Linked DNA regions of Saccharomyces cerevisiae S288C. Changing the gene in region 1 together with any one later gene gives a genetic interaction. Each region holds a gene or a part of one and is shown in the gene's direction. Other genes may lie near its edges.

Region 1 (5,560 bases):
GTAAAACATTGTCCGTTCTCTTCAGTTATAATTACTGCTGATTCAGGGGCGGCAGCTGATATATCTCGAGTCACCTTCAAAAATCAAACCTGCTATTGGGACCCGTACTTCCATTTGGATTTACCAACTTGATTCTTCTATCAGAGACGAAGGCCCTTATAAACCTTGAACCTGAGCTTAAAATTTACATATTACTTTCTTGTAATCATTAAGTATGAATTTGCAAGGCGTTTACATGAAAAGAGGTCGGCATAGTACATATGGAAATTTACTGGTATGCAATCCATTATGTGTTATCATATCTTTTTTACATAACAGGCACTTCTGAAATTCCCCCTCTTGTATGCCCCTATTTACTCCTTTTTAAATTCTTCGGATTATTATTTAGATCGTGATTCTCTCTACTCAAACATTTCCTTGAACTTGTATAACGGGGAAATAAATCTGAAAAGCAATACATTTGCGCACTGTTAAAACTGGAAAGGAAGAATGACAACCAGCATACTCGATACTTATCCTCAAATATGCTCCCCCAATGCTTTGCCAGGTACTCCCGGCAATTTGACTAAGGAGCAAGAGGAAGCGCTTTTGCAATTTAGGTCAATCTTGTTAGAAAAGAATTACAAAGAAAGGCTGGATGATTCTACGCTATTGCGATTTCTACGGGCAAGGAAATTTGATATCAATGCTAGCGTTGAGATGTTTGTAGAAACTGAACGATGGAGGGAAGAATACGGTGCCAACACTATTATCGAGGATTATGAAAACAACAAGGAAGCCGAAGACAAAGAAAGAATCAAATTGGCCAAAATGTACCCTCAGTATTACCATCACGTTGATAAGGATGGGAGACCATTGTACTTCGAAGAACTAGGAGGAATTAACTTAAAGAAAATGTACAAGATCACTACCGAAAAACAGATGCTAAGAAACTTAGTCAAGGAGTACGAATTATTTGCCACGTACCGGGTCCCAGCGTGTTCGAGAAGAGCTGGCTACCTTATTGAAACTTCGTGCACTGTGCTGGACTTGAAGGGTATCTCACTTTCTAATGCTTATCATGTGCTTTCCTATATTAAAGATGTTGCAGATATCAGTCAAAATTATTATCCTGAAAGAATGGGTAAGTTTTATATTATACACAGTCCATTTGGTTTCTCGACGATGTTCAAGATGGTTAAACCCTTCTTGGATCCAGTAACCGTGTCAAAAATCTTTATTCTTGGCTCTTCTTATAAAAAGGAATTATTAAAACAAATTCCAATCGAGAACTTGCCTGTTAAATATGGTGGTACATCTGTCTTGCACAACCCTAATGATAAGTTCTACTATTCCGATATTGGTCCCTGGAGAGACCCTAGATACATCGGACCAGAAGGTGAAATTCCCAACATTTTTGGTAAATTTACTGTTACCAGCTAACTATGATACAGGCCTTCGTCGTAGCTTTCCGTGAATATAGCATGCATACTCTATAATATGTATATCTCTGTATCTAATAATAATTAATGACTTTCATTCTTGAACGCGTTCTGTTCGATAAAAAAGAAAGGTATCCAAACAAACGCCATTTATGAAAACGGAGGAAGAAACAACAAAATAGTAGGAATAACTACTCGGTCAGACTGAAAACTTTATCCGTGCATACGTCGTGGTGTTTATCTTTGATTGTATCATATTATGAGCTCCAACAATGAACCGGCCCAAAGTCGAACATCATATTTCAAATTGAATGAATTTTTGTCCAACGTTAAGCATTACAAGAATACCTTTAAGGGTGAGATTCAGTGGTGTAATAACCTGTCCTTAAACGACTGGAAGACACACTATCTGCAAATTACCAGTACAGGTGCACTAACCCACTCAATCGATGAGTTAACAGCAGACTCTACTAATATTCAGCCAATTATCAAACATCTACAGCAATGTAGAATCGAGATTATTAAGGATAAGCATTCCTCTTTTAAGGATATTAATGCAAATTGTAATTTTATAATCCAAGTAAACACCTCAGGTAAAGATAATAAAGTTTACCTGCGAGTTAAAAGTTGGAGTGATTTCAAGAAATTGCTAACATGTCTGATCTGGTGGAGCTCAATGAAGACAAATGGTATATTTAATAAGTTTCAAGTATCGCGACCTCTAGAATTTAAAAGCAAAAAAATGGCGAAACCAGAAAGTTTGCTGGTTTACAAATTGAATGTTTTTGGGCCCATCGTTAAGAACATCGTCCTTCCGCCAGCAACAAATATTTTAGAAAGCCCTGATATAATTAATAATGATGACAACAGCGTAGGTTGGTTTTCCGCTATGGGGGTGCTTAAATCAAACGGCATGCTAGATCTTCTTTTACAGAGTGACGGCTCTCTGATTTACTCATTGAATATTAGCCAGCTTTTAAGATCAGAGATAAGAATTCTGGATTCATCTGTTTTACAAAGTGAAAACAGTTTGTTTTTAGGTGAATTGCCATTACTAAGGAGCCAGTTGGGCCTCGAAAAGTTTCGCATAGAAAATATTGCCAGTGCTGCCACCAACTCTAGTGATATTTCTCAAGAAATTATTGTAGAGTTTCCCTTAAGAATAGACCTGGAGGATTGTTTTATAGCGTTACAATCGTTCGCTAGGTCGGAATACTTATCTATTACTGGCTCAGATAAATCAAATGATATGAAGATATCGAATAGCTTTAAAATTTCCATACTGGAAGCTAATTTTCAGTCAATCAATTTAAATGACAAGAATAATACGCCATGGTCAATATTCACAGACATAACGGCCTGGGGCCATACATGGGCTAGAACATCCATGGTTTCAAACTCCTCTAATCCATTTTGGAGAGAAGAGTTTCAGTTCAATGAACTTTTAAGACTTACTAATTCTTATCTGGAAATCAAGCAGTTATTCCACGATCTCAATAATAAAAAACGGTTACGATTGATAGGCAAAATAAAAATCACACAAGAAATAATAAATGATACAAGATATAATAAGGAAACAAGACTACCCATCATGGACGTTGATAACAAAAATTTTCAAATAGGAACAATCTGTATTAAAATTTCTTCAAATTTGAACTTCATTTTACCGTCAACCAATTTCGTTAAATTGGAAAAACTTTTGATGAACGCAAACTTGTCCATGGTTTCCAATCTAATTTACAAATCTTCTTCATCAATGGAGAATGATAACAAATTGACGCAAACATCCATAATTTTTCTCGATATATTCCAATCTTTGTCAAGAATAGAAGAATGGTTCCACGTCCTTATAGACAAAGAATTGGCTAAAATTGATGGAACGGTTTCAAGAATAAACCAGAAAAATTTAGACTCAAAGCATGTTTTCAACAGTTTATTCCGTGGTAACTCTATCTTAACAAAGTCGATTGAACAGTACTTTTTCAGAGTGGGTAATGAATATTTGAGTAAAGCGCTTAGTGCAATACTAAAAGAGATCATTGAGTCAAACAAATCATGTGAATTGGATCCTGCTAGAGTAAAAGAAAAAGATGAAGTAAAAAAGAGGAAAATAATTGCCGACAACTACAAACGATTGTATTCTTGGGTTACGAAGATTTGGAAAAGGCTGTATGCAACGAGTAATGACCTGCCGATTGAAATAAGAAATGTTTTAAAAATCTTTAGGCAAAAACTAGAGATAATTTGTATCGATGACACTTTGCAAATAATTTTGAATGGTATATCAGGATTATTGTTTTTAAGGTTTTTTTGTCCAGTCATATTAAACCCTAAGCTATTCAAATATGTTTCTCAAAATTTAAACGAAACAGCAAGAAGGAATCTTACCCTAATAAGTAAAGTTTTACTTAATCTGTCCACTTTGACGCAGTTTGCAAACAAAGAGCCCTGGCTAATGAAGATGAATAACTTTATCGATAAAAGACACAATGACTTATTAGATTACATTGATAAAATGACGCAAAAGAAACTAGATTTTAATTCAAAGATATTGAACCTAAGTTCTACTATTTCGAGACCCAAATTGGCCATTGAACAAACGATGTTGGATGATTTGCCTCAGATTCCTTATCTGCTTGATAAGAATTTGAGAGAAACTGAGTTTGTTAACTTGATTGTTAATTTCAGTCAGGAAGATATGACCAAGATGGAAAAATACAATCACATGGATAATGGTGGGAAGGGAGAATTAATCGAAGAGGAGGGCCTGTTAAGCGGTAGCAGCCTAAATTTGTCTGTGGATAAAAAAGATTTGGATTCACCAATTGAGGTTAAGCCAGAAATTGGAGAGTTAGAATTTGAGAAAATAACTGAAAACAACACGGAGATCTTCGGAGATGATTTAATGAACCTACTGAAAAGCGATGATGTAGGTTCCAGAAGCAGAGATTTGGATAATGGCGCTAATTCAGGCATCAAATTTAATTCTATAATCCCGAAAGCAGAAGAGGAAAAGCATGCAATGAAAGAATTGGAGCAAGAGTCATGTTTACTCTATAATAGGATTAATCATATTAGAAAACGGTTGTCAGGTTATGAATGTGCTTCCAGCACTTTGTTTGAAGACAAAAAATACTCCATTTCACTCTCACATAAAATTTTTTATGAAGAAATAAAGGAGGGAAAAGAAATTGTTCTTAAACTACTAAATAAACCAACAAATGAAAACTCTTCCGCAAGATTGCAGAAATTCTTCACAAAAGGTGTCTCTAGTAAATCCAATAACACAGTTGGAGATAGTTACTGTAAATTTTTGACTATTGATGTAAGTGATGAGAATCCCAAGAGTAGCAACAAAACATCGGTACATGGAACATCATCGGAAAATGGAGCCAAGGATGATTACTTGACGCTTCCAAACTCGCAAGGTAAAGGTAACTTGGGGAATAGATTTTCCCCGACAAAGTTATCTAGGATAATGAGGAAACCTCCTAACGCAGATGTTCCTAAAGAACAAAATTCCCGTAAGCTGACAAGATGGTTCAAAAAGAAAAAAGAAACAGGGGGATCTTAATCGTAGAAAAAAATGTTCACTTCATATTCTTTCCTTTGAAAGTTTTTTTTTTTTTACTTCTTTATTCACTACTTGTAACAGTATATAGCGGGTTGTACTATCAGCAGAAAAAAGTAATTCATAATTTTTCAGAAAGATTTCTCATAATATAGTATATAAAAAAATGCTTCGAGAGGAGATGATAGACAGCGATAAGTATATGGAAATTTGGAAACCAAACAGGAGATACAAATGGGTATATATTATATTTAATAAAAACGAACAGATGGCGATCCAGAATGTGGAAATAAATAACAAAGTTGAACATCATACGGTTATTCCAAGGTGGCGAGAATGTTAGCCTGCAAAGGAACTTGCTAGTGACATCTCAATGAAAGATTTTTTCCTCCCAGCACCAAAGTTTGGTTTCGAAGACTGTTGCTGTTGTACTGGCTGCCTTGGTTGGTGGAATTGATTTGTATTTGTACCTAAAGGGAAATTTAGTGATGAGGAAGTGTTCGAATGTGATAATGATGAGGAGGTGTCCCCTGTATCGTTCGGACAACACGATGATATTTCACGGGGC
Region 2 (4,733 bases), on another chromosome or scaffold:
ATACAGCCGATACTATAATTTTTTTCAAGCCAAGTAAAATAAAAGGTAGATTTAAAATCCAAGAAGTATATGCACCATGTCCTATAAGCTGTTTGATACCTGGAGAAAAAGATGGCTCAGTTGTTATGGTTACTTCTCAAGGTCAATTTTACGACGTACTTGTTCCTGGTGATGCCGGAAGGGCTACTCTTTGTTCTAAGTTTGAAAAAGTTTTAAAAACATGTCTCAAATTTATAACTTTGGAATCTTCATCAAGATATGTGATTGTAGCGGCCCTGCCAGTAGCAAATCCATTGCAGGACAAGTATTCCGAAATTTATGTGTATGATATTAAACAGTTCAAAAACATTTCCGCATTCAATTTTTCTAACCTCAACAATGATATCGAGAGTATAAAATATGAAAACGCTATGATATCAGATATTATTGCCGTACCCATGCTCAAAAGAACCGAAACATTAGGAAAAAGAAAGACTTCTGAGCTGTATAAGGAAGTGATTTTCAATTCATGTATCTTGGTGTCTCTAAATTTAGACTCAATAGACGGTATTGATAGTAAAAATATGAATAACCTATTATTGTTTTCATTTGATGAGGAATCGGGTTTTATTGAATTTGTTTTTGGGATTAACACGGGGTTCTCAATCAGTGGGTTACATAACTATTACAATGGATGTGTTTTGGTTTATGGGGAGTTTGTGCAAGCTTATCAACTGAACTATTCAGTTCATGATAACAAGTTCAGTATTGAACAGGTTTCAAATAGGTTGAATATTTCTGGTATTACAATAACATCATCTATATTTTTTGATAAAAGGAAGGCAAAGATGGCTAGGAAGCAGCAAAATATAGGTACATGGGTTTATTTGGAAGAAATGATTTTACTTGATGTACGGAAAGGTGTGATGAGGTTCAATGTCATCCATACAACAGACGGTAACATAGAAAAGGTTCAATTGCAGGTACAGCCTCTGAATTTATTTGAGAGGGACCTCATCAATAGCATTACCGACACCGGGAAAATGTTTACCGGTGCAGCCGCTATAACTTTCAAGAATATTAGGTATCTACTAATTTCGTACGGTGATCAAAAGCTCACGTTATTTAGTTTAAAACTTGATGGTGAGGAAGAAATAGACGAAAGAGTGTACCATGTTGCTGAGCAAGTTACAACCATCAACTCTGTAAGAACTACTGATTCCAGAATGAGCACGTTTTTAGGCGAATCTACATTTATGCCCTTATTCTTAGTAAGTACCTTGTCTAACGGTTGTTATGTGATCGGAATCCTGCATGAAGAGTCAGATATCTCATTACATATCTTATCAGAAAAGAAAGCTGTCTTCGCAAAGCGGTCGGTTCAAAAGTTCCTGGGCTTCCTCGATCCTCAAATGGATGATCACACTGTAATATCTGAAATTTAGTGTCTACGTTATGATATATACACTTACAAATTTACTTTCCTTTTTTAGTATAGTTTTCAAGTAAAATTCTTGAAGCGGTGTTGTTTTTGTTTGTTCTTCGTTTAGCAAAAGTCATTGTTAAATACACGCTATAATATGGCCATGACCGTAGGACCGAATGCTGTCCGAAAAATGATACTTATCACACATTTCAAATAAGATCGGTTTTGTAGTTCAAAGATTTCTTAAGAGCCTTTTACGTGTTTCTTAAGAAACACTTCACATTGGCTATCATTATTAGTAAATAGATTTATATGATTTTCACTTATTAAGGACAGAAATGTCGCGATTTCGAACCCATAAAAAAAGGAAAAGCACCGCCTGTTCTCCAGTCTTCATAAAAGCACACCGTATAGAAAGGGCGGTGAATGTTGATCTTGCATACTATAAAATTATTTGACACTAATGCCAACAACTTATGTGCCAATAAATCAACCAATTGGGGATGGTGAAGATGTCATTGACACCAATCGATTCACCAATATTCCAGAAACGCAAAATTTTGACCAATTTGTTACAATTGATAAGATTGCTGAGGAAAATAGACCACTGTCTGTAGACTCGGACAGGGAGTTCCTTAATTCAAAATATCGACATTACCGAGAGGTTATATGGGACCGTGCAAAAACATTTATCACATTAAGCTCTACGGCCATAGTTATTGGATGTATTGCTGGTTTCCTACAAGTCTTCACGGAAACTCTGGTTAACTGGAAAACAGGTCATTGTCAGAGGAACTGGCTACTTAATAAATCCTTCTGTTGTAACGGCGTGGTTAATGAGGTTACCTCTACAAGCAATTTACTACTGAAAAGACAAGAGTTTGAATGCGAGGCACAAGGGCTTTGGATTGCCTGGAAGGGACATGTGTCCCCTTTTATAATTTTCATGCTTTTGTCAGTCTTATTTGCTCTAATTAGTACACTGTTAGTCAAATATGTTGCTCCTATGGCTACTGGTTCAGGAATCTCAGAGATTAAGGTATGGGTATCAGGTTTTGAATACAATAAGGAATTTTTGGGTTTCTTAACATTAGTCATTAAAAGTGTTGCCCTTCCTTTGGCTATTTCTTCGGGATTAAGCGTAGGTAAAGAAGGGCCCTCAGTTCATTATGCAACCTGTTGTGGGTACTTACTCACAAAATGGCTACTAAGAGATACTTTGACGTATTCATCGCAATATGAGTATATCACAGCAGCTAGTGGAGCAGGTGTTGCGGTTGCTTTTGGTGCTCCTATTGGTGGTGTCCTTTTTGGTTTGGAAGAGATTGCTTCTGCGAATAGGTTTAACTCCTCTACCTTATGGAAATCCTATTATGTCGCCCTAGTCGCAATAACTACTTTGAAGTACATTGATCCATTTAGGAATGGCAGAGTTATTTTATTCAATGTAACATATGATAGAGACTGGAAGGTACAAGAGATTCCGATCTTTATAGCCTTAGGAATCTTTGGTGGTTTATATGGAAAATATATTAGTAAGTGGAACATCAACTTTATTCACTTTCGCAAAATGTACCTGTCCTCATGGCCAGTTCAAGAAGTGCTTTTTTTGGCGACGCTTACTGCTTTGATTTCTTACTTCAATGAGTTCTTGAAATTAGACATGACAGAAAGTATGGGTATATTGTTTCATGAATGTGTCAAGAACGATAACACCTCAACTTTTAGTCATAGGTTATGTCAGTTGGATGAAAATACGCACGCTTTTGAGTTCTTAAAAATTTTTACTTCCCTATGCTTTGCCACTGTTATCAGGGCCTTGTTGGTGGTGGTATCATATGGCGCCAGAGTTCCTGCCGGAATCTTTGTTCCTTCAATGGCGGTTGGGGCCACATTTGGACGGGCAGTAAGTCTACTGGTAGAGAGATTTATAAGTGGCCCTTCTGTTATTACTCCTGGTGCCTACGCCTTCCTGGGAGCAGCCGCTACCTTGAGCGGGATAACTAACTTGACTTTAACTGTGGTGGTAATAATGTTCGAGCTAACAGGCGCCTTCATGTATATCATACCCCTTATGATTGTAGTGGCAATAACAAGGATAATTTTAAGCACGTCTGGTATTTCTGGCGGTATTGCTGATCAAATGATCATGGTTAATGGATTCCCATATTTGGAAGACGAGCAAGACGAGGAAGAGGAGGAAACCTTAGAAAAATACACTGCAGAGCAGCTCATGTCCTCCAAATTAATTACTATTAATGAAACCATTTACCTTTCCGAGCTTGAATCTTTGTTGTACGACTCAGCGTCTGAATATTCTGTGCATGGTTTTCCAATAACTAAGGATGAGGATAAGTTTGAGAAGGAAAAAAGATGTATTGGCTATGTTTTAAAAAGGCACTTAGCCAGTAAAATCATGATGCAAAGCGTAAATAGCACCAAAGCTCAAACGACACTGGTATACTTCAATAAGTCTAACGAAGAGTTGGGACATCGTGAAAACTGCATCGGATTTAAGGATATTATGAATGAATCTCCAATCTCGGTGAAGAAGGCGGTGCCAGTAACATTGTTATTCCGTATGTTTAAAGAGCTAGGTTGTAAGACTATCATCGTAGAGGAAAGTGGAATTTTAAAGGGGTTGGTCACTGCTAAAGATATTTTGAGGTTCAAAAGAATTAAGTATCGAGAAGTTCACGGTGCGAAATTTACATATAATGAAGCACTTGATAGAAGATGTTGGTCAGTTATCCATTTCATAATCAAAAGGTTTACCACTAATCGAAATGGTAACGTTATATGATTAGACATTTATGTAATTTTTAAGGCGCTAGTATAGATTATTCAAAATTATATGATACAGACTTTTATCAATTTTTACTTGTTTAAGCTCCGTCACCCTGTTATTAAACGTGAGCAGAGAAATGCCTTTTGAAAACACACTAAAACACATAAGTTAATCTTCGCGCCATTTACCAACCTTTTTGTATTGGAGGTAAAGTGCTTTGAAATATTGTTTCCCAGGTGTGTCAAGGAAAGCGTTCAATTGATTCAACTCGTTCTGAGATAATATATCAAAAATCGCATGAATACCGGGCTGCAGACTCTTTTTTATGTTTAAACTGAACTGCGTCGTAATAGACAACTGTATATATTTCGTTAGAACCACAAGTACATTTTTTCTGATGGACTGCTTTATCAAACTTATCTTTGAGCTTAAGTTATTTTTCTGCCCATTTTGAGCGTTTGATACATTATAAGGCTCGCAGTAGTTCGTTATTAGTCTGGCTACGGCGTCTGCTGAATTTGCACACAATGTACCATCATG

The links.
Region 2: mutations in BUD2 (region 1) and GEF1 together harm fitness more than expected from each alone (negative genetic interaction), as found in Saccharomyces cerevisiae (2 studies listed by BioGRID).

What each region holds. Positions count from the first base shown.
Region 1 is NC_001143.9:265,580-271,139, reverse strand, and holds BUD2 (GTPase-activating protein BUD2), read left to right. Parts: upstream 1-1,680; coding exon 1,681-4,995; downstream 4,996-5,560. Other genes in the region: YKL091C (phosphatidylinositol/phosphatidylcholine-binding protein), read left to right, coding at 490-1,422; MBR1 (Mbr1p), read right to left, coding at 5,332-5,560. UniProt on the Saccharomyces cerevisiae protein: Stimulates the GTPase activity of BUD1/RSR1. Participates in the regulation of bud-site selection.
Region 2 is NC_001142.9:505,878-510,610, forward strand, and holds GEF1 (Gef1p), read left to right. Parts: upstream 1-1,868; coding exon 1,869-4,208; downstream 4,209-4,733. Other genes in the region: MLO127 (Mlo127p), read left to right, coding at 1-1,424; ribosome biogenesis protein URB2, read right to left, coding at 4,362-4,733. UniProt on the Saccharomyces cerevisiae protein: Anion/proton exchange transporter involved in iron and copper cation homeostasis. Involved in intracellular iron metabolism during growth on fermentable and non fermentable carbon sources.